Diceros bicornis minor: one gene and its partners. The protein of the gene in region 2 purifies or fractionates together with the protein of the main gene of each other region. This does not show direct contact. Links are inferred from orthologs where the notes say so. Each region holds a gene or a part of one and is shown on either strand. Other genes may lie near its edges. The genes, in order: USE1, BNIP1 and NBAS.

Region 1 (7,287 bases), on a different chromosome or scaffold from region 2:
TCTGCAGGTGAGGTGGGGAGAGCATCAACAGGACTGGGGCCAAGTGTGGCCTCTCCCTACCACCCTGCAGCAAGTCTGCACCTCTCGGCCCTTGTTGGTGCTGTTTCCTCTGCTGAGAATGCCATTCTTGCTTTCTACCAAACTCCAGCCAGCCAAGCCCCAGCCACAATGCCCCTCTGCTGGGAAACCTTCTCTGATGCCCCAGGACAGAGGCTGCAAAGCTCCCACACTCCTCACACCTGGTTGTCCTTCTTGATGACACTCTGGGCGGCCAGTGTGTTGGTCTTGAGGCTCCGGGCCAGGCCTAGCATCTCCTCTGCCAGCTTCTCCTGGAGGTCCTGGTGTCGCTGCAGGATGAGGTCTAACTCGGCCGCCGACTGCTTTTCATTTCCTGGCCTGGGCCCTGCCACCCCACTGACCCCACACATGGGTGGGCAGGTGGGCACGAGGTGGGGTGGGGGAGGGGAAGAGACCAACACGTTCCCAGGGAGCCCAGAGGCTATAGCTCCGGCCACTGCCCTGCTTGGGGCTCAGTTACCCCTTCTTTGCTCTGGCTTCTGGGAACAGCACCCCCAGAAGTGGCTTCTGATGGGCGGTTTAGATGCTCATGGTGGCGCCTCAGGGGCCCAAGGCTCGTCCAGCCCCCCGGCCCCCAGTGCTGCCCAAGGGCAGAGGACACTCACCTTCTCTTCCGCACGTCCAGCTCGGGCTCTGCAGGGAAACAGGCCCGGCAGAAACGAGAGCGGGTTGGTTTCCTGTTGACCAGCCTCCTGGCCACTGCCCGTCACAGGCCTGCCACTCACAATGCCCTTTCCAGTCCTGTCTGCTGCCTGCTGGGCTCCTGACCATGCCTCAAAGCTCGAGCTCAAACGCGCTCTCTTCTAGGGGGTTCTCCTCACCCCCAGCTGGGCTCCCCCGGCCCCAGGTCCCTCCCTGCAGCCTAACTTTGGCCCGTGGGCTGGGAGTTTCCAGCTTTGCTTCCTCTGGGGGCCACCTCCTCTGTCCTAGCCCCCCCTCTAGGCATAACTCAGTAACACCCCCAGGGACACTCTGCCTGGGCTGTGGGAGTGAGGCCAGGCACCAGGGATGGGGGCAGCAAGGACACATGTCTGGTCCCAGGCAGCTGGGCCTCAAGTCCTGTTCTGCTCAGGCCGACTCACCTCCAGAAGAGTCCTGTGGCAAAAAGGGAGAGCGTGAAGTCACCCACTTTGTCATGCCCCTAAACCTGTCCTTTCTGCTCTCAGACACTCCCCACCCATAGTCAGAGCCCTGGGGAAGTCTCATGACCTCTGAGCCTGTTTTTTAGTCTATAAATCGGTAACAACAGCTCCTGTTGTATAATTTTATTTATTTATTTATTTTGTCCCCCAAAGCCCCAGTAGATAGTTGTATGTCATAGTTGCACATCCTCCTAGTTGCTGTATGTGGGACGCGGCCTCAGCATGGCAGGAGAAGCGGTACGTTGGTGTGCGCCCGGGATCCGAACCCGGGCTGCCAGTAGCAGAGCGCGAGCACTTAACCGCTAAGCCACCGGGCTGGTCCAACAGCTCCTGTTGTGAAGGGTTTACCTGATCCACGTAAAGTGCTCAGAAAGACACTTATCCTGTTTTACAGATGAAAACACTCGTCGTAACCGGACACGTCATTTTTGCCTTGTACCCGACTCCTGTTCATTTATCAAGCCCTGATGGCCCAGGGCGGAGGCTATTGGGCTCCTTAGGGTCCCTGCACCTGACAGTATTTGTTGTTCTGGCCAGCCCCAGGCCCTGAACTCCTGTCGCTGACCAAAGGGCCCTCAGGGACCAGGAGAGTGTCCTACCGCACCCAGCAGCTCATCCCGCATCTCGCTGGTGTACCGGGCCCGTGACTGCAGATGCACTGTCTTCGTGGCAGGTATCCGCTCCCGGGCTGTGGTGGGCACGCGGCCAGGAGCCAGGAACTGGTTGGCTAGTGCCTTGTCGGAGGAGGAGGTCTGAAGAAGAGGGATGAGGGGTCACCAGAGGGGCAGGTCCTGGGGGTGAGGAGGGCTGAGGAGGCGGCCGTCCCCGCTCACCAGCTTCTCTGCCTGCAGCATCCCCTTCAGAAAATCCACCTTGCGGGCATACTCATTGATCACCTCGGAGACCGGTTTGCTAGAAGGCGAGAAGAGGACAAAGAAAACCTGCCCACGGTCCCAGTTCAGGGAAGGGTCCAGCAGGAACCGGAGCCCAGGGCTCTACCCCGACCCCGGATTTGAAACCCCAGTGGCCGCCGGCACTCACCTCGCCTGGGCTTTCAAGGCCTGCAGCATGTCCTCGAGGGCTCCCACGTACTGGGGAGAGACAGCGCAGCGTCAGCCCGGTCCCACACCCCCACTTCTTCCCATCCTGCTCAAAGGGGCCAGAGCCAGCAAGGGGCGGGGCTCGGAAGTGGGAGGGGCCAAGCGTCAAGGAGGCGCGGCCAGCGGAACCCCAGAGACGGGAGCTGCAGGTGGACGTAGCGGCGCCGACCGGAAGGGGCGTGGCCAGGGTGGCTGTTGGGGCAGGGGAGTCGGAACCGGTGGCCGCCAGCTCCGGGCCCACTGTCCCGGAGTCAGGCTCTACGCTGCCCCGCGGGCTTCTCCCACCTTCTCCAGACGCCACTCGTCCGGGTCCCTCTTCTCCGCTGCCATCGCCTCGCAGCGGCACAGCAGCCGCACCAAGTTGAGCTCCAGCCTCGACGCTGCCATCACCCCCACGGTGCTACCTCGCCCCTTCCGCCGGCGCCATCTTAAGAGATGGCGGAAGTGCCTTCATTTGGCTTCCTTCCGGTTGGATGAGCTCAGCTCGCTCGCCGTTCCATCTTTCTTTGGGGTGGCAATAATATTTTATTTCAAGGAGAGGCGCCATCCTCGTCCATAGTTACTCAGGGCTGAATCGCCTGCTTTTCCTCCAGAGCATCTTAACCCTCAGGAATGGTTGAAAGGACCAGGTCCTGCGGTTTCAGGCCCACGTACAACGTGTCCTTTGCTCATTCCTTTCCCCCTGCTCAAAGTGCCTCCCCCACATCCACTGCTGCCTGGATTCTTCCCACACTGAGGTTTTGCGCATCCGGCCAGCCTTCCCCGACTTCTTCCGGGGGAGAGGCCCTGGGCTGGCTTAGGGGCCCATCCAATCTTCTGCGGTTGTGAGCTTCCGGGCGCCAGACTCCGTCCCCCGCTGTTTCTGGGCCTGTTTCCTCCCTTGGGGAATGGGGAGTGGGACAGTGCCTGTCTCAAGGGGCACACGAACTAGCCCTGCGAGCAGGAGGCGGGGCCGGGTCACCCCTAACGTTCAGACCCCCGTGAAGAGAAGCCAGTTCCAGCCCACCCAGGTGCCCAGGAAGCCGAGGCCAGTCCCACGAGCCCCGCTCCTGGAGTGGACGCGGTGAGGATGGAGGCTTCACGGGATCGGAGCCTGGCATGCAGCCCTCAGGTCACCGGTGTCCTGGTCACACTGGTGTGCCTAATGTCCTCGCAAAGTACCACGGAGGAGGCCAAACCCAGGATGGATAAAGGGGGCTCCAGAGGCAGATGGGCAGGGTCTGAACCCCAGCCCCACCCCACCGCACCTGTGTGGTCTTGGACAAGCCCCCAACCCTCTGGCATGTGCCGTCTGGACTCAAGTTCTTCACGGTCCCCTGACCCCACCCTCACAGGCCCCACCCGCGAGCCACGTCCCCCACCTGCCCATCTGATCGCAGCCTGGGAGCTCATCTGCGGCTGATGTGTGGGGGCCTCTGGCTCTGCCGGCCCACCAGGAACAGACTCCCCCCCTGGCCCATGGCCCTGCACCTGACGCTTACGCCCCAGCTGAGGAGAGGCTGGTGCTGAAACAGGGCGACAGGAGGCAGCCCCCAGGACAGCAGGCTCCCCTCACTGAATGCCACTCTGCAGGAGCTGCCCTCTCCCCAGATGTCCAGGTCAAGCACCTCCACAAGCCCACCTGCCCAGGTGAGGAGCACGTGGGAGATCCCAACAGCAGCATTTGCTGAGGATCAAGGCAGGTTCTTCCAGACAAGGGGCACAACCCCCTGCCCTGCACCCCTCTTGGCAGAGGCTGCAGGGTGCCCCCACCGAAGCCCCACTCCTCCAACCAGGAGTGTTTTGAGCAGGAGCCACACACAAATCTCTCAGGCGCTTTGTCTTTATTTCACACGGCTCTGGGTGCCTCTTGTCCCAGACCTGTGGTCATGTGTCCAGGGGATACATGTGTCCTGGGGAGTGGGCCAAACCTGAGGGCATCCCTCTGGAGATCCCCAGGCTGCCACTGTTGACCTGAGGGGGACAACACAGGCCTTGCCCTCCCCGCCGGTGAGCGGTCCTGAGTCGCTGGCTCCTGTTCTGCCACACGGTGGAGGTGGGGGGGGTGGGGGCAGTGCCAAGGGTGCCCTCCTCCAGCCTCTGGAGTCCAGGATGGGCAGAGGATGACGGCCACATTGGAGCCTCCCTGGGACGTGAGGTCTGTGGTGCCCCGGGTGGAGGCTGCTCCCCCCCGCTTTGTGTCCTGGCTCAGCCAACAGCCTTGATCCCCACGGAGGGCTCTGGCGCTCCCTCAAATGCACCCCGGCCAGAGGACGAGTCCAAGAGAGAGAAAGGCGGTCATGCGGCCCGAGTGTCTAAACCCCTCGTGCAGGGTCCTGGCCCTGGACCGCCCAGAGCGCTCCCAGCGCAGGGCTGAGCCTCTGAAGCGTGGCGGCTGCGTGGGCTTAGCTTTGAAGACTGATGTCCAGGTTATAAAGGAGATGCAGCGCGTTAATATAAAAGGTCGTACAGACACATATAAAAAACAATTTGGTCTTCCGTTAAGGCTGTTACAGTTTAAAGTTATGTAAACCACGCACAAAAAAACAGTTACTGTAAAAAATTACAAAATGGGAGGTGGGAGATGCTAGGTGGCCCGCCGTGATTCCGTGCTCTGGGTGGGCGCGATTGCGCAGCGTGGAGGCTCAGCGAGGGCGGCCCAGCCTCAGCTGGCCTCTCCCGGCCTCGACCCTGCACTGGGAGCCGTTGCTCCCCCCCACATCGCTCTTGCAGCTTTTCATTCCGGATCCTTCTCGGCGAGCTGAATGCTGGCTCTGGGCTGTCCTCGGACATGTGGACAGACGGCTGTGGGCCCTCAGCCGTTGGCCTGGCCCGAGGTGGGGGGCAGGCAGTAGGTGGGAGGGTCCGAGTACCTTCGCTTGGCCCCAGGTGGCCGGTCGTCCTTGTCCACGGGCTCCTGAGCACCCCTCGCGGGCAGGTGAGCGCAGGGCGTGATATACACAGAGTGTACCTGGTCCGGGCGGCGGGCGGGTGGCTCTCGGCGTCTCACCGGGGCAGCAGCCTCCTGGGGCCCCGGCGCCCGGCTGGGAAGGTGGGAGGGCAGGCCAGGTGGGAGCTTGATGTTCGCCGTGGGCATGATGGGGGTCCGCCGGGGCGTCTTCACTCTGACCGTCATGAAGGACGACGGCCTTCGTCGCGGAGGGGCGGCCGCCGTGGGGAGGGGGCTCGGGGTGGGTACACTGGGGCAGGGGAGAGCAGGCGCAGGGGGCCCTTTTGAGAGACAGATGGCAGGGTTACTGCAGCTTCAGGGCCGCCACATGGTCCCTCGCCCCGGGGCCGGCGGTGGTGGACACGGGAAGGAAAAAAGCAGACGCTACCTTAATACTGACCTTCCGAGGCCCCCCGCCCAGCCCGCTCCTCCAACAGGCTCTCGGTGCTGGCCGACGTCTCCGAGTCCAGGTTCTCCTCATCGGAGCCCCGCGGGTCCAGCTCCGGCAGCCGGTAGGTGATGTCCTCCCTGGGGAGGAGGTCACAGTGTCCGAGGCTGTTCCCATGGCGAAAGACCACCCCACGGAAAGTGCCAGGCTGGTAGGGTACAGAGCAGGCCGTCCTGGTCCTGGATGGTACTCCCTGCCCCCAGCACCCCACTTCCACCCCCAAAGCACACCTGGCCCAAATCACCCCGGCCCTGTGAAGCTGACGGGAAGAAGGTGTCCGGCTGCTGAGGGAAGCCAGGCACCTGGGCCAGGACTGAGCTGGTGAGGAGCTTCTGCCTCAGGACCTTTGCACGTGTTTCCCTCCACCTGCATTGCCCTCCCCTGTTCCTAAGACTAGGGTGACGGGGCGGCCTGGGTCACTCCTATTCTCTTGGCAGCATTTTTAATAACACCCCCCTTCACATCTTGACTGGACAACAAATTAGTCACCCTAACTAAGGCCAACTTCTGGACAAAGTCTGGGCATCACCCCTCTGTCGCCTCAGCTCTCCCACGGTGTGGGTCACCGTGGTTCCCTGTGGTCAAGCATGGGGTTTCAGGACAGCGGCACCCGTTGAAGTGGGTCCTGGACGATGCGAGGAGCCTAGCCTGGCAGCCTCTAAGGGCCAGGCTCCCTGTGGTGGAGGGCGCTGGAAGGGGATGGAGGAACACTTGCTTCTCTTCCTTGATGGACTGGATCCGCTCCATGAGCATCTCCTTCTCGCGGTCCTCGTCGCCACCGGCCACCTCCTCCTCTGGCAGCACGTCCAGCTCCTCCAGGCCGCCGCTGCTACTCACCCGGGCCTTGGGGCTCTTGTTCTGCAACAGAGAAGCAGCAGGTCTGGCCGGCCCCCTGGGCTGGCAGAGAGGGCGGTGTGAGCGGCCTGGGAGATTAGTTCTGACGTGGACAGTGGGCTTAGTGAGGCTTCTCCAGGGTCACGCGGGGAGGGGGTGGCCGGCGCTCTGCTGGTTAGTCGTCCTTCTCACACAGGTGGTCAGCAGGCACAGGCCTCCCCCAGCATGCACTTCGGAAAGGTCAGGACACACTAGGTCTATCCTACAAGGGCCCTGGGCCAAGGGGAACCCCAGCATGCACCGCTGGGGGAGACATGCAGGGCGGCTGCTAAGCGTGTACATACCAGCATCGCCTCATAGGGAGACGAAAACCCCAGTTTGAGAGGCCATGGCTGGGGGAGAGATGAACAGAGGGTGACCACTGGGGGCCACTGACCCTGACAAAGGTGTGCGTCAAGGACACCGGGCCACATCTGACCGCAGGGACAAAGATAAGGGTCCTCCCACAGTAGCCCAGGACCCGCCCCCACCCGCTCCCCCACCCCCCACTCCCTAGTGTGGAGCCACTTCTGCTGTGGGAACGTTTCCTTGTGGGCGGGGGCCCAGGTCAGCAAGGGATGGAGCTGAAGAATGACCCGAACCACTGCCAAGAGAGTGACAGGTCGCCCGCTGCCCTCTGAGAGGGGCGTTTGCCTGAGGCTGGGAATGGGCCTCTAACCCTGCTGCCTTGAGGCCCCTGGCCAGGCTGCCTGTGGC
Region 2 (7,528 bases):
GTGCTAGAGAAGAGAAAGCAGTTGAAGTAGCTTCAGAGTTTTCAAGTTGAAAAATTCCAGGGACAATGGTGTCCCTGCCATCCACTTAAGACAGCTGGCAGTGTTAACTTGCTGTTAACTTGTTAACACAGCTGGCTCTGCATGTAAAAGTTCCTCATTTTGACCTGGATAGCAGGTTAGTACAGTCACCCTGGCTGTCTAAGCGTTCACTGAAGAACCTGGACAGCACGCAGGCAGAGGTGAGTGCCAGGACCCAGCCCCGTTCACTGCTGCCCATTCTCAGCATCCCAGTTTTGCAGCCACTCACCTGTATTCTGTGCCGCAACTGCTGAAACTTCTCTTTCACTTGAGTATTCAGTTCAGTGAGTGCGCTTAATGGTCCTGAACAGTCTCGAATATCCTAGGAGACATTGAAGAGATGAGAGGGTCTTTCTTAAGGCAACGAAATGAAATGACACCATCTGTACAGTGAGAGAGTTGGTGTAGACCACACCTAAGGTTGGCCTACTGACTGTAATTCATCCTAATCTTTGCTCTTTACCTCTGCAACACAAGCAAAAACATTATCATTTTCATTTTTCTCATCCTTCTTTAGATTAATTTTGAGCAGGTAATATAAAAGCATAAAAAGAAAAACAACTCTATATACAAGAGAATACTACTCAGCCATAAAAAAGGAATATTTGCCATTTGCAACAACATGGATGGACCCTTAAGGTATTATGCTAAGTGAAATAAGTCAGATGAGAAAGACAAATACCATATGATTTCACTCATATGTGGAATCTAAAAAATAAAACAGGGCCGGCCCCGTGGCTTAGTGGTTAAGAGTGCACGCTCTGCTGCTGGCGGCCTGGGTTCGGATCCCGGGCACGCACCAACGCGCCACTTCTCCCGCCATGCTGAGGCCGAGTCCCACATATAGCAACTAGAAGGATGTGCAACTATGACATACAACTATCTACTGGTGCTTTGGGGGAAAAAATAAATAAATAAATAAAATTTAAAAAAATTAAAAAAAATAAAACAAACACACAAAACAAAAACAAACTCATAGATACAGAGAACAGACTGGTGGTACCAGAGGGGAAGGGGGTTGGGGGACAGGCGCAATGGGGGGACAGGATCAACTGTATAGTGATGGATGGTAACTAGACTTACGGTGGTGATCACTTTGTAGTGTATACAAATATCAAATTATAATGTTGTATACTTGAAACTTTTATAATGTTATATACCAATTTTACCTCAAAAAAAGAAAAAAAGAAGGGAAGAAACACAATTCTGTCTTGACTTACGAGTTCCTAAAGTTTAACAAAACACCACCTGGCCAGTATGAAAGGCTTAAAGCAGCTTGTGTGTCCAACAAGAATGGACACCCAAAAGTGATCCTACAACTTTAGATTTTTCCAACTGGAAAACCAGGATGCTAAATTCCTGGCCTAATATGACAAGACTAACATCTTATCTGATCTTTCAAACCACATATTATAAATCACAGTGTTTACAGACATGTTCAATTTAGAATATGATTTAGAATTTGTTTCTGGACATTCAGAATTACTAGGGCCAGGATTTAGAGCAGGCTCTGGAGCTAAACTATGTGGATTCAAATCCTGGCTGAAGCAACTTATTAGCTGTGAAACCTTGAAAAAGTCATTTGAGTTCTCTGAGCCTGAGTTTCCTCATCACAACATTACCTAGCTCACAGACCACGGATGTATGTGAAGTGCTTAGCAGAGGAGCTGGAACAAAGTAAGAGTACAATAAATCTAGCTATGATCAATCTTTCTCATTAGCAATCACGAGAGCCCAAATGTTAGAGAGTACAAAAGGGGATTTAAGCAATTTAGATTATGTGAAAAAGTGATTTCATTTGTATAAATCCTAAATTTATTTTACTAGAATTGGCCCAGAAGTTTTGTAGTTTATACATGGGAGACATGAAGTTCAAGAAGTTAAAATGTTTGCATCAAGTGTCCTCACTTGTTCTCTGGCTCACTCGTAAATCACACTTCCTTGCACCCTACGATGAACCACTTATTTGGTTTATTTTGCGTCTGGTTTCCCTGAGGAGTCCTACTTTCTTTCGCTTTTTGTCGAAGCTAGTTGCAAACTCTGAGTCTACATCCAATGCTTAGTAACATTTGTTGGAAATGGAAACGCTTTCCCTTAAACCAAGCTTTAAGACTCTTGGTTTCTTTTTGCTAAACTCAAGGAACCATTTCTCCATTCCTACCTCTTGCCTGTGTCAACTGGTTTATTGCACTACTGCCTTCCACCCTTAAATGGCCTAAGGCAACGCACCTCAATTACCCTATTAAACCGAGGAGTAGAGGCTCTCTAAGTCCCTTCTCTAGGCTGACTTTCACTATCTGCCTTCTGACCTAGGCCTTGGCAGTCTACGTGATTTCCTCATTTCAAAATCCCCACTACGGTCCAGGTTACGTTCATTTCCCCGGTGCTTCCAGCGCCAAGTAGCCTTGGGTGCCACGAAGCACGGGACCAGCGGAGCTGGCCAGCAGGGGGCGGGGCTCATGGTCCCAGGAGGCTACCAGATGATGGAGAGGGCGGTGTCAGAAAACAGGGCCAAGCAGGGTGACAGGTATGTTGTGAGGCGCTCGGGGGCGAGGCGACGATCAGGGGTATGTGTGGGAGGGACCAAACGGGGCCACAGGGGAAGCCTGGTCAGGGGCGGGGGACCCGGGGGTGTCCCGGAAGAGGGCGAGCCGACAGCACTGGATGGAGGATCAAGGCCAACGGTCAAGGGGACGGGACTCAAGCGTAACAACAAGGGGATAGCCGGCCATGGCGTGGGGCCAGCGACCTCGGAGACTTGACCAAGCGGGGAGAGCTAGGGAGTGAGACCACCGAGCTCACAGAAGGCCAGCGGAGCTTGGACTTAGGGACGCTGGGGCCCGGCAGCGGTCTCGGGAATTAGTACCTGGATAAGCGCCTTCACCTCCAGGTCGAATTTGACAATTTCTTGGTTGCAGATCCGGACGTGGACATCTTGGGGAGCCGCCATGTTGGGGACGCCAGCTACGGGCAGCGACAGTGCCCAAGTGCAAACGCGTTCTCGCGCCCCGGCCTTCCCTCCCCGCCCGGTCTCACGGCAGCGCCCCCTAGAGCCCGGTCTGGGGCGTGCGAGGGTGCCGCGCTCGGTGCTGGGGACTTTCCCTGACACGTCGGGGACTCAGCCTCTCCTCTTGGCGTGATCCTAGTAAAACGCAGAGGAAGGGAAGAGGGAATCGAAGAGCGTTTTAACAGCGTTTAACGTTCCCCATCTTCCGCCTATCAGCCATTCTAATGACTACATATTTTTTACATGGGCGGGGGAAAGGCTGGAAGAAAAGTATCAATTGGGATATTTCTGGAAGGTGGAATTAACAATTTTTTGTATTTCTTGAAACTTCCTTGTGTTTTCATATCTTCTACAGTGACTATGAATTGTGGAGTAAAAGAAAAAATGGTAAACGTTGTTATTATTACTTTTTTTAGTGTCTGGAATTCAAGGCAGGCCACTAGTCCAACACATGGTCCGAGGGATCTTTCTAAAACGCGTAACTAATCAAGTCACCTCCCAGCTTGGACCCCTTCTATGGCTCCTGGCGGTTCCCTTTTGTGTACAACTGGATTTATTAAGTCTACATCACCCGAGTAGTTTTGGTGGATTAATGTAGTTTTGATGGAAATAATTAAGAGCAGACCCTCAACAAATGGAGGCTCTTTCATTTTACTTTTATTATTAAATAGTCCCAAGTTTCTTAGCTGGTCCTCAAGGCCATCAGCCACCTCACCCAGCCCCACCTCCTCCCGAGATCCTTCAAGCTCTTTTTGGATATGTAGCCTTGGAATGTGCTGTTCCCTGTTCTTGAATGCTTTTCCCCACTTGCCCCCAGCCCCATTCACTTTTGTTCACTTCAGTTCAGCAAGCATAGATTGTGACACCCTGAGGGCCTAGCTGTGTTTCTTTTAATCCGCACAACCACGCTTGAAATAGGTGATACTCCAGTTTTACAGACTGGGAGATGGACTAAGAGTAGATCAAAACAAAGCAAAACCGGACATCCCTGCCCCACGGTACCCAACTTGAAAGTGGCAGTGCCTTGCCTGAAAGCCACATCTTCCCTTAAGAACCAAATATGGCCTTTGGGTAGTGTACAAGGGGGGCTGTGTGCTCGCCTATCTGTGTTCCTCCAGCACGCCGCACACCCTCCCTGAAGGTGTTCATCACCCCACTGCACCTAATAGAGAGGCGGTGTATTGCAGGCTTGGGCGTCTGCCTTGGCTTGAATCCTGCTCCACAACCCACTTCACATCTCTGTGCCTCAGTCTCCTCAGAGGCTGACTGGGGGTAATCACTGGCTTGGTGGGAGGGTGAAATGAGGTAATACATGAAAAGCACCAAGCACAGTGTAGTAATGTGGCATGTGGTAAGAGCTCTGTGTGCATTAGCTGCCATTATTATATTACTAACTGACATTTTTGGAGCACTTCCTATGTGCCAGGCACTTTATACTAAATGCTTTATGTGTATCATCTAATTCTCACAACAACTCTATGAGGTAGAATTAACCACATTTTACACGAGGAAACAGGCACAGAGAGAACAATGAGTTGCCCAATGCAAATGGAATTGCTAGGTCAAAGGATATGTGCATTTTAAATTTCTGATATATGTTACCAAATTGCTCTTCGTAGAGGTTATATCAGTTTACACTCCCACCAGCAATGTGGTATAAATGCCTACTTCCCCAGGGCCTCACCAACACAGTGTGTTAAACGCTGGGATTTTTGCCAGTCTGATTAAGTGAAAAATGCCATCTCTTAATTTGCATTTCTCTTATCATGAACAAGCTTGAGAGGTATTTGTATTTACTCTATTGTCTGCTCATTTCTCTATTGGGTTGTTGGTCTTTTTCACATCAGTTTCTAGGAGCTCTTTATATATTAGGAGGATTAGCCCTTGGAGATGAGCTTTTTCCCTAGTCTATAAAATTTTGACTTAGCGCATTTAATTTTTGGGAGGAGTTCTATAATTATGTTTATTTCCAATGTTTGTTATCACCAGATCTGTGTTTCCTATTATTTTTATAAGAAGATTATTTAGCTCTCTTTGTATTATTGGTTTTTCTTATGGCATATGGTAGCCAAAGTTGTATGAGAGTTAAAGGAAAATTCCTAAGAAACTGTATAAGCCTTTAGATTGCTTCTTACTTGGGACAATACATTTTTCTAGTTCTTACCAAGAATAACAACTTCCACTTTTCTTTTAAACTGCACTTTTTTTTTTTTTTTTTTTTTGGTGAGGAAGATCAGCCCTGAGCTAATATCCACGCTAATCCTCCTCTTTTTGCTGAGGAAGACCGGCTCTGAGCTAACATCTATTGCCAATCCTCCTCCTTTTTTCTTCCCCAAAGCCCCAGTAGATAGTTGCATGTCATAGCTGCACATCCTTCTAGTTGCTGCATGTGGGACGCAGCCTCAGCATGGCCAGAGAAGCGGTGCGTCGGTGCGCGCCCGGGATCCGAACCCCGGCCGCCAGTAGCGGAGCGCACGCACTTAACCGCTAAGCCACGGGGCCGGCCCTAAACTGCACTTTTGACCTTATTTTTTTTTTATGGTATATAAACAATAATTTATAAACATGATGTAAAAACCCATCGTGTTTTCTTAGACTTTTGATATTATTTGATATGGTACAAACTTTATTAAATCAAGATTCAAGACCTAAAAAAAAAAAAAAATTTTTTTTGACTTAGCTTATGGTGTTTTTTGGCCTTAAAGAAGTTTTAAGTTTTTTATTTTTGTTTAACATAGAATTTATCAATCTTCATTTATGACTCCTGGATTTGGGATCCAAGTTAGAAAGGCCTTCCTCACACTGTAGGGGTTTAAAGGAATTGCCCACATTTCCTTCTAGTGTTTTTACGGTTTTTTTTTTTTTTTTAAACATTTAGATCTTTACCCATTTTGAAATATATGTTGGCTTATGGGGTGAGGTATAGAGCTAACTTTACTCTTTCCAGAGTGTTACCCAGTTGTTCCAACACTATTTCCTGAAGAATCCATCTTTTTCTCACTGATTCTGGATGCCTCATTTACCATACTGAACTCTTATGTTTGAATTTATTTCTAGACTTTCCATTCTGTTCTATTGGCCTGTCTATTCACTCATGCACCAAAATGACACTTTTAATTATTATAGTTTTATGTGTTTTAATAGGTTAACATGAACACTGCTTTTCTTTTTTTATTCCCCAGCATCTTGCAGCTATTATTTTTTTCCCCAGGTGAACTTTTTTTTTTAACCCCCTGGTATGTTTTAAGATGGCATTAAATTTTTTAACTTAGGAGGACTGACAACTTTATGTCATTGACTGCTCCTGTTCAAAAACTTGGTCTGTCTTTCCATTTGTTCAAGTCTTCTTCTGTGTCCTTCATAATATTTTAAAGTTTTCTTTATCTAGGCCTTGTACATTTTCTGTTAAGTTCATTCCTGGTGATGTTTTAAGACTAAAACCTTTTAAAGAAACCAAGTTTGACGTTTTTCAGGTCACTCAACTGTTTTGGATCCTCAAATAGAAGCTCCCTATTTAGGACAGGAAGAAGCCCAAAGTCTGCAGGCAGCAGATCTGCCCACATGACCTTGGGCCCCTTTCACATCAGGCTTCTTGCTGGAAACTCCTACGCAATCAACAGTCCCCAATTGCCTCTCAATGCAGCAATTAAAGAAAAGATAGCTCCCTTTTTCTCCACCCTTCAACACACTCTCTTCTAACAGAGCCCCAATTCTAAGCCCTTAAGCTAGAGGCCATCTTTGAGTGATAGACATGCAATTTGGTGACCCACATCCCCAATTACTGACTACTGCCAACGCTGTTTTGCTCCCATCATCTTTATCCACTGATCCTGAGATCAGCTTTTGGTTACTACATCTGCTAGGTTTTGGCTTTAGTTCTGATTTTCAGATTCTAAACCCATTATTTTCCTCCTATATTGACATCCAACCAAATCGCCTGTGACTTGGCCTGGTCCCTTAGAGATGAGTAAGAATCGTCTCTGAGTGCGGCAAGCAGACTGGAATTTAAATTAGAGTTGTCTATCACATAAGCTGGGTCTGGGGTGAGTGGCCTCATCTGAGTCTCATCTGACTCTTCTGTAAAGTGGACATGACTGCTTACCTCACTGCGCCACTGAGAGCAGCAGCTGAGTTCCCTGATGGGAGAGCACCTAGCAGGGGCTTAATGAATGCCACCCTAGCCTTCTAGACTTTCTAATGCCCTCTTCCTATTCTGAACCTTTCAGCTGGGATATTAAAGTATTTCCCAACTAATGTCTTTCTTTCTGGCCAACTAGCTCTCCTGGTTCTGAAATCACTGTTGGTGAGGAGGGACAACTGAATGACCCACCTAACTGGGTGCTACCCACAGAAGGTTTAGTTTCCTAAGGACTATACTGCCCTGGCTCACCCAGCTCCTTAAAGTTCCCAGACCATGACAGAGGCCCCTATGAGGAGTGGTCT
Region 3 (7,320 bases), on a different chromosome or scaffold from region 2:
TATAATAAAGACGGGCTTTGGAGCAGAAACACATGCAGCCAAACTCCAAATGAATGACTTTGGGCAAGTTTCCTCATCTATAAACAGAAACTCATAACAGCACCTACCTTGCTAGTCTGGTAAAGGATAACATGAACTAATATACTTAAAGCCCTCACAACACCAGCTTAAGGCGGCTAGTGCTCAAAACTTTCTCAGATCCTGTGAGTTCTATGTCAATTTTGTCAGAAGTTAAATGAATGCCCTGGTTAATCAAATTTGTAATCTGAACAACTCTGACCGGGTGTATCTGAAATATCATGTAAACCTCTTAAAATGTCCTGTCACTGTCTTTCACCTTCAATGTCCATAGACTCTGAGACTCGCACGGGGTTTGATTTTCTTCACTTCTTCTAGAACACATCCATAATGGTTCAACTCAGGCCATACTTTAGCTCTAAGCTGCATTAAAAATGTGTATGTGTATGTATATATATGTATATGTGTGTATACATATATATACATACACACATGTGTATATGTGTGTATATATACACTCACACTCACATACGTAGATACATATCATATCTATAATTAAGATATATACATATTTATCATGCTCTAAATTAGAAGTCTGAAGAACACATTTTAAAATTCCTAAACTTTCTAAAACAATACAGTTATGAATGAAGTGGAAAATAATTATCTGCTAACTATATCAGTATATGCAGAAAAATAAATAAGCTATACTTACCTTTAATTGCTTTTGTGATGATAAAGGACGCACCATGTTTTCGGTTGCCTCTAGGCTACAATTGGAAACAAAAAACAAAAAAAAACTTTCATATGGGATTTTTCTAGTAATATTTACACAATATGTAAAGTTACATTTCTTTGCTAAAACTCAGAGTACTGGGTACAAGTCACTAGTATTTAAAAAGTACTTATGGATAAAAACAAAACAAGTAGAAGCAGGACTGGGAACAGTGGAAGTAAAAGTGAGCATGGCAGACGTACAGGCATTTGTCAGGAGGACTTTAGAAGGGAGGACGAGGACTGAAGCTGGAAACTGTTTCCAAATCAAAACACCAGTCCAAAGACAAGAGAAGTCAAGAGCAAAGACCATACTGGTTGCCAGTTCAGCACAGTCTACTTAAAACAAGTTTTGCTTGCAGGAAAAGTAATCATACGGATTACTCATCTCACGTCTTGAGGCAAATTTATTGAATATCTGTTGTCTATCCACAGAGAAAATGCTACTAACACACACTGACATATAATTGCTATATTAAATAGTTCCTTAAGTATAGACTAAACATTGTGTAGGCTAAATAATACTAGGCACTACAAATAATGAGTAAGATCTACTAATGTGTTGTTAAGAAAGGAACAATGCACATACAGTAAGTGCAGACAGATATGGCTTAAAAGCACATAAAAGTTATTTCATTCAACAAACAAACTGATCATCCACTTCACGTAAGACCCAGGTTGGTCCTGGGGAGGGATATAAAAATGAATCAGCTGTAGCTGCCCTCAAAGAGCTTGTAGTTCAACACTTGAAATCAATAGAACCAAACAAAACAAAACAAAGTGCTATGAAAATTCAATGTAAGTTGATGCTGTGCTTATTTTTTTAAAAATCAATAATATTAAGCATTCTGAAATATTATTGTAATTAACCAGTGAGTGCTAAGGGGTAGAAATGTATCCTTATCCAGCCAATAGCAGCAGCAACAGCTTTCAAGCTGCATAACCTACAAAATATTCACATTGTTCAAAACAAACAGAAAGTAATACTTGAAAAACAATAATATATGCAGATCTCTGCCAGCCTATAAAATATATTATTCAAGACAAACAGAAACTGCAGTGAGAAGGAGGTTAAAGAAAAACTACAAACAGTATAGGAGAATGAGTAGTTTTTCCAGTAAAGAAACACTCAAGAAAGACGTTGTAAAAAAGAATTCATATGGGCAGGACTCCATGATCTCTAACAAAGGTCCTTTTTGATCTTGCTGCATCCTCTGAGTCTAAAACAGTGACTGGCATATGTTAGGCACTCAATACATCTGTTGAATAAAGGTGGATTCCGGGTTGCTACTCTTCACCTCGTGCCTGGGAGGCCCTCTCTGTGGAACAATTGATAACCTCAAGGTCCACTTCAGGTTACAACCCTTCTCTAGGAGAGAAACCCACCCCGGTCAGTAGCTCGTTACTCTTCACTCCCAAGGCATTTTGCTTACACCGCTATTATAGCGCCTATTACACTAGGTTATGAGAAATGTTCACTGACTTGTCTCCCCTCTAGACTGCAAGAACCACGAGTTATGCACCTCTGTATGCCCAGCGCCTGGCACAGTATCTGACACAGATGGACACACATACACTTATTAAATGCCTGTTTATTGAAATACACAAGAACTGGCGCAATTCAGCCCCAAGTAGGAGTAAAGGTTAGATGCCATGCTCCGCGGCAGCCCGCCAGATGTTGAGACGACTGTAGGGACCTGGAAAATTCTCCCACTGCAGATGACAATCAGCCCTGGCCAGTCCTGTCGGGCGATGGGAAGGGACTACCGAAGAGTCTAAAAATGACGACCTTCTAGTCCAATGCCGTGCCTCCCCTCCAAGTAAAGGGCAGTGAAACAGAACCAGAGTGGGAAGGTACGTGTTCCAGAACCCGGGGTTGCGCCACCCGACCACCGAATTCGCAGCCCAGGAGGAATCTTGGGAACACCCCTTAGGGGACCCAGGCCCCGGCTAGCCCGCCGTGCCGTTACCAGCGTGACCACGCAAGCTGCAGAGCCCCGCTCCCCCGCCCACCCAGCTCCACTCCCCTGCGTGGTTCCCGCTACGAGGCTCTGCCCGGGCAGCATCCGCGCCAAGCTGGCCGCAGCTCTGCAGGGGCCGGGGTCACCTGTACTTCTGTCTCCGGGGGCCACTCGGTGTTGACCAACAAGTCATAGAGAATTGTCTCCTCCTCGCCCTCCGCAGCGCCTGGAATCACAGCCGGCGCTGACTCGGAGGCCGCCATGTTCGCCCGGGACCCAGCCGCTGAGAGAGTGTCACTACGGCATCCCGCAATGGACAAGCTTCCTTAGCCGCGGCCGTTTTTGATTCACTGGAAAGAGGGTGGAGTTAACTGGACGTGGAAAGGAAATGCTAGGTTAACCTTTTTATGAATAGGAAGAACAATGACTACTGCTTGTCTGGGTAACGACTGTCTGTCCCGCTGTACTCCTTGTTAATTAGTCTGCTCGAGATCAGCCAAGTCTGAGCCTCTCTTATCCAGTCGGCTTCTATAAAACAGAAATGGTAAAAGTATTGGTAAATGATAAATGGTAAAAGCATCCCTGAGATGCTGGCGTTCACTTATGTATTCGTTGTCACTTATGTATTGTACACAGAAAGAGTACAAACAGTGGTTTTTTTAAATAAACACCAAAAATTTATGCAATGCAACAGATTAAGCCAATGAAAGGTACCAGAGGAATGGTGCTATAGGAGTTCAGAAAAGGCACGGAAGTCCAGAGGGTCTGAAAGGGCTCCCTGCAGGAAGTGGAGCTTGTCCTGGGTCTTGAACAACAGGTAGAATTTGAATCAAGTGGAGAAGGTTGGGGAGAGCATTTCAAGTGGGGGCAAATGGGCTAAGCAAAGACAGTGACAGAAATATCTAGTTGAAAGAGCAGGCAGCTGGATAGAACCCAAGTAGAGAAAGGGTGTGGGGCAATAAGGTTGAAATGATAGGTTGAGGACCTCCATGGAGGGAGATAAAATGCCAGCCTTGCTTGTTCATTCATTTGTCCATTCATTCATTCAACAACTGCCTCTATGTGGGAAGCCCTGTATATAAGCAGAGCCTATTGTAACCTGATTGAATATACAGTGCACAAGAAATTAGCAGTGTCACATTCAAAAGAAACACAAATACTGAAGCTATCTTACGAGAATTATGTTGCATAATGTCCATCAGGATGCATTAGGCAATGATGCATTTAAAAGCCTCCACTAGGAAGCGTCTAATGGCTCCCATTTCTCTCAAAGCTCAGTGACCTCAAAGCAAGCCCTCCATCACCTGCCTGCACCCCCTTACTCTTTCACCTCATCTGCTGCTTCCCCCTGCTACCTTCAGCCACACTGGCTTTGCTGTTTCTGAACACACCAGACACACTTCCACTTAAGGGACTTTGCATGGGTTGTTCCCTCTGGTTGGAAGACTTCCTACCAGATATTTCTCTGGGTCTCCCCCTCATCTCCAAAGTTTTGCTCAAATGTCACCTTCTCCCTGAAGCTTTACCTGACTGCTCATTTTTAAATTTGAAACCACCTTCCCCATCTCCAGATCTCCCTTACTAGCTCTATTTTTTTTTTGCCATAACACTTTGTCATCACCTAAAATGCTGTATAATTTATGTTTTATTATATGAGTTTATTGTCTGTCCTCATTCACTAAAATGTAGGTTCTACCAGAACGGAGTGCTCTACTATGTATGTATAGATGCTATGTACATCCCTGCTACATCCCCAGAGTTTATAACAGTGCCTGGCACAGAGCAGAGGACAAAATATATATTATTTGTTGAATAAATGAAAAGTTTCCCCAAAATACATTTTTATACATTGTATCCCCAAAGTACTTCTCTTCACAGCAGCCTTGTCTTTTTATCAAACCCTCAGTTGCAGACACCAGACATCTCCTCTCCCCATCCCACCAGAGCTGACAAGTTGCACAGCTCCCGGGAGCATATCTCACATTGCAGGATGTGGAATGTGAAGAGGTAGGAACATCCTTCACTTGGAATACAGTCTTAAAGGTGGCCCCTGGAGTGGTACAGGGCCTCAATACTGCCCCCTCCCATTTCTGCACACCAAGTTTCCTTGGCTCTTTACTCCCTTCCCTATCTCATCCTTTCTCTGATAGAAATTGGCATTGCCTTCTGCTTCATCCATTCTCTTCACCACTTGCATGTGATCAGCACAACCACAGCCAGGAGGTGGCTGGCCAAGCAAGCATCTTCTCAGCTGGCATGCAAAGGGGACAACTGCAAAGACATCACCAAGAATCATCACACTATGTTAATTTCTTTATCCATCCTTACCCTTACCCCATTTACCTTAGTTTGTACCACAGAACAGGAAACAAAAGTCCATGCCTGGCTGACCTCACGGAGCTTATATTCTAAGGAAACAAAAAAGGAGCAGGCTGAAACAGCATTATTTGAAGAGTGACTATACATTTAACTTGGAGTAATTGCTGCAAGGAAAATTCTACTACCAGAGATGCAGATGGGCAGGTTGTGAAGCCTTCTTCGCCACTGTTTAAAATCCAGAAGTTCTTGGAGGAAAAGAACGTGAGATGACCAACAACAGTGAAGAAGGTGGTAAGAATATGTGTGTCATGAGAAGAGCTCTAAATGCAGAATAGCAGACACTGGGGTTGGAAAAGAAAAGGCAGAGAAGTGATCAGATTTCAAGTCAAAGTTCAGCTGAGTCAAAAGAACAAGATGATTTAAGACAGGTTGGGTGGCTTAAACCAAATTGCTAATTGGTCTTATCTGTAGTGACTATATAGTTAATTGTCCAAACTGAGACACTTTGGGGAATGAAAAGGGATGACTTTAATAACTATGCTAGGAAAACAGGCATGAAACAGGACTGTCCTGGGCAAACTGAGATGATGGTCACACTAATCTTAAACAGAAGAGTGACTGATCTAATGAAGAGACCTTGGGCATTTCATTAGGACAGCAAGAGTCTCTTCTCCATCATATTTCCCTTCTTTCTGCCCTCAGACTTACAGTGACAGCTGTCATTTTCATCTGCCCAGGCCTTTTGCTTCCTTGGAGAACTGCTCCAACTGCTCTTCCTTCACCCAAGTCATGTATTCCAGTGGGGCTGCCAATCCCCAGACTCCGCCTCCTTGATCCGGGTCTGCGCACTCAAAGAGCCCCATTCCCCTGACTTCAAGCAATGGGTTGAGAATGCTTCCCGGGGATTTGGGGTTTGTTTTTTTTTTCATGGAAGTGGAGGAAAAAACACCTTTATTTTGGATCATAGAGTTTGAAAAATACAAATTTGGGCTTGTCAGTGGCCGTTTTATTCACTATAGAGGGAAAACCTGTCTGCGATGGTAACAAAATGAAACCACACATTGAGAAAAACACAGGAGACAGAGACATCATTTGATATTAGCATGCCTGAAATAGGTGACATCTGCATGCCTCCATCTTCCCAGTTAAGTGAACCAGTGCATTCCCCTTAAACTAAAGTTAAGTTTCAATGCATTGAAACCACTCTTCTCTTGACATTTCTACCAGTGGATTTTGCAGATTACCTAATTTAGAATCTCTGCAATGTTGCTTCTGAGTTGAGTCAGTAGTTAATAGTACATTGATAGTACTATTACATTAATACATTGACAGTATTCATGGCTTACTAAGCTCTTTTGTCCTCACAGCCACTGCTGAGATGGACAGATAGAAACTCAAGAGAGAGATGCAGATCTCCATTTCCTAGATAAGGAAACTGAAACTTAGAGAAATCCAAGATCACAACAAAGCCAAAATTCAAACATAATTCTTCAGGTCTTGATCCTGTGCTTCTTTCTGCAAATACCCGCCTCTCCTTTTTGAATATTCATTCCCCAACCAAATAAAAATTCCTGCTTTCCCCTGTTTGAGGATGCCATGACTTTGGAAATGATTCCTCATGGCCCCCTACTTGCTGCAAATGCACTTTACTTTGTGCGACAACTTCCACTGGTGTAGAGTCTTATTTAACTCACCAGGAGGCGAGCCCACTTGGTTCGGTATCATTATCATGGTCATCTAACCAACTTCTTAATTTAGCTGAAGGTCCAGGTGAGGCTTGAAGACATTTTAAGTCATGAGTAAGTCATTCTAAAAGGAAAAAATTATGTTTTCCAAATAACCAATGCAAATGGTAACTCTGTGAACTGCTTCAGGAACTAAGACTGAAATAAAAATTGAGACAATCCCAAAATAGGCATAATGATAATAATAATAGCTACATTTTGTGTGTCTACTCTGCTCCAAGCACTGTACCAGATACTTTGCTATACCTTATCTCTCTGCTCCTCTCTACAGTGCTGCAAAGAAAGAGTTAATAAGAAACTGAGGCTTTAAATCACTGTGACTCAAACAAGGTTGCACACTGGTAGTGGTGAAGCTAGAATTGAAACACAGTTTTTGTGTAACGTTCAAATTATTAATAGAGAAGGTACTGTGATATATCCATTTTAATGAAAAGTAATCTGTTTTTTTATAAGCGTTTGATGAAGGGAAGGAAAAATACAGAAAATATTTCCCATTTCTTTCT

What was found.
Region 1: the proteins of BNIP1 (region 2) and USE1 purify together in Homo sapiens (co-immunoprecipitation; 4 studies listed by BioGRID and IntAct, counting the BioPlex papers as one, with this or other methods). This does not show direct contact. The link is inferred for Diceros bicornis minor from reciprocal best matches to the Homo sapiens genes BNIP1 and USE1.
Region 3: the proteins of BNIP1 (region 2) and NBAS purify together in Homo sapiens (co-immunoprecipitation; 3 studies listed by BioGRID and IntAct, with this or other methods). This does not show direct contact. The link is inferred for Diceros bicornis minor from reciprocal best matches to the Homo sapiens genes BNIP1 and NBAS.

Annotation. Positions count from the first base shown.
Region 1 is NC_080759.1:5,216,539-5,223,825, reverse strand, and holds the start of USE1 (vesicle transport protein USE1), read right to left. Parts: upstream 3,001-7,287; 5' UTR 2,708-3,000; coding exon 2,606-2,707; intron 2,312-2,605; coding exon 2,262-2,311; intron 2,133-2,261; coding exon 2,054-2,132; intron 1,973-2,053; coding exon 1,820-1,972; intron 1,174-1,819; coding exon 1,161-1,173; intron 712-1,160; coding exon 684-711; intron 415-683; coding exon 240-414; intron 2-239; coding exon 1-1. Other genes in the region: MYO9B (unconventional myosin-IXb), read right to left, coding at 5,115-5,530, 5,650-5,773, 6,409-6,555, 6,876-6,923.
Region 2 is NC_080740.1:86,935,884-86,943,411, reverse strand, and holds the start of BNIP1 (vesicle transport protein SEC20), read right to left. Parts: upstream 3,053-7,528; 5' UTR 3,029-3,052; coding exon 2,945-3,028; intron 401-2,944; coding exon 308-400; intron 1-307. UniProt on the Homo sapiens protein: As part of a SNARE complex may be involved in endoplasmic reticulum membranes fusion and be required for the maintenance of endoplasmic reticulum organization. Also plays a role in apoptosis.
Region 3 is NC_080751.1:65,496,536-65,503,855, reverse strand, and holds the start of NBAS (NBAS subunit of NRZ tethering complex), read right to left. Parts: upstream 3,034-7,320; 5' UTR 3,017-3,033; coding exon 2,900-3,016; intron 789-2,899; coding exon 734-788; intron 1-733. UniProt on the Homo sapiens protein: Involved in Golgi-to-endoplasmic reticulum (ER) retrograde transport; the function is proposed to depend on its association in the NRZ complex which is believed to play a role in SNARE assembly at the ER. Required for normal embryonic development.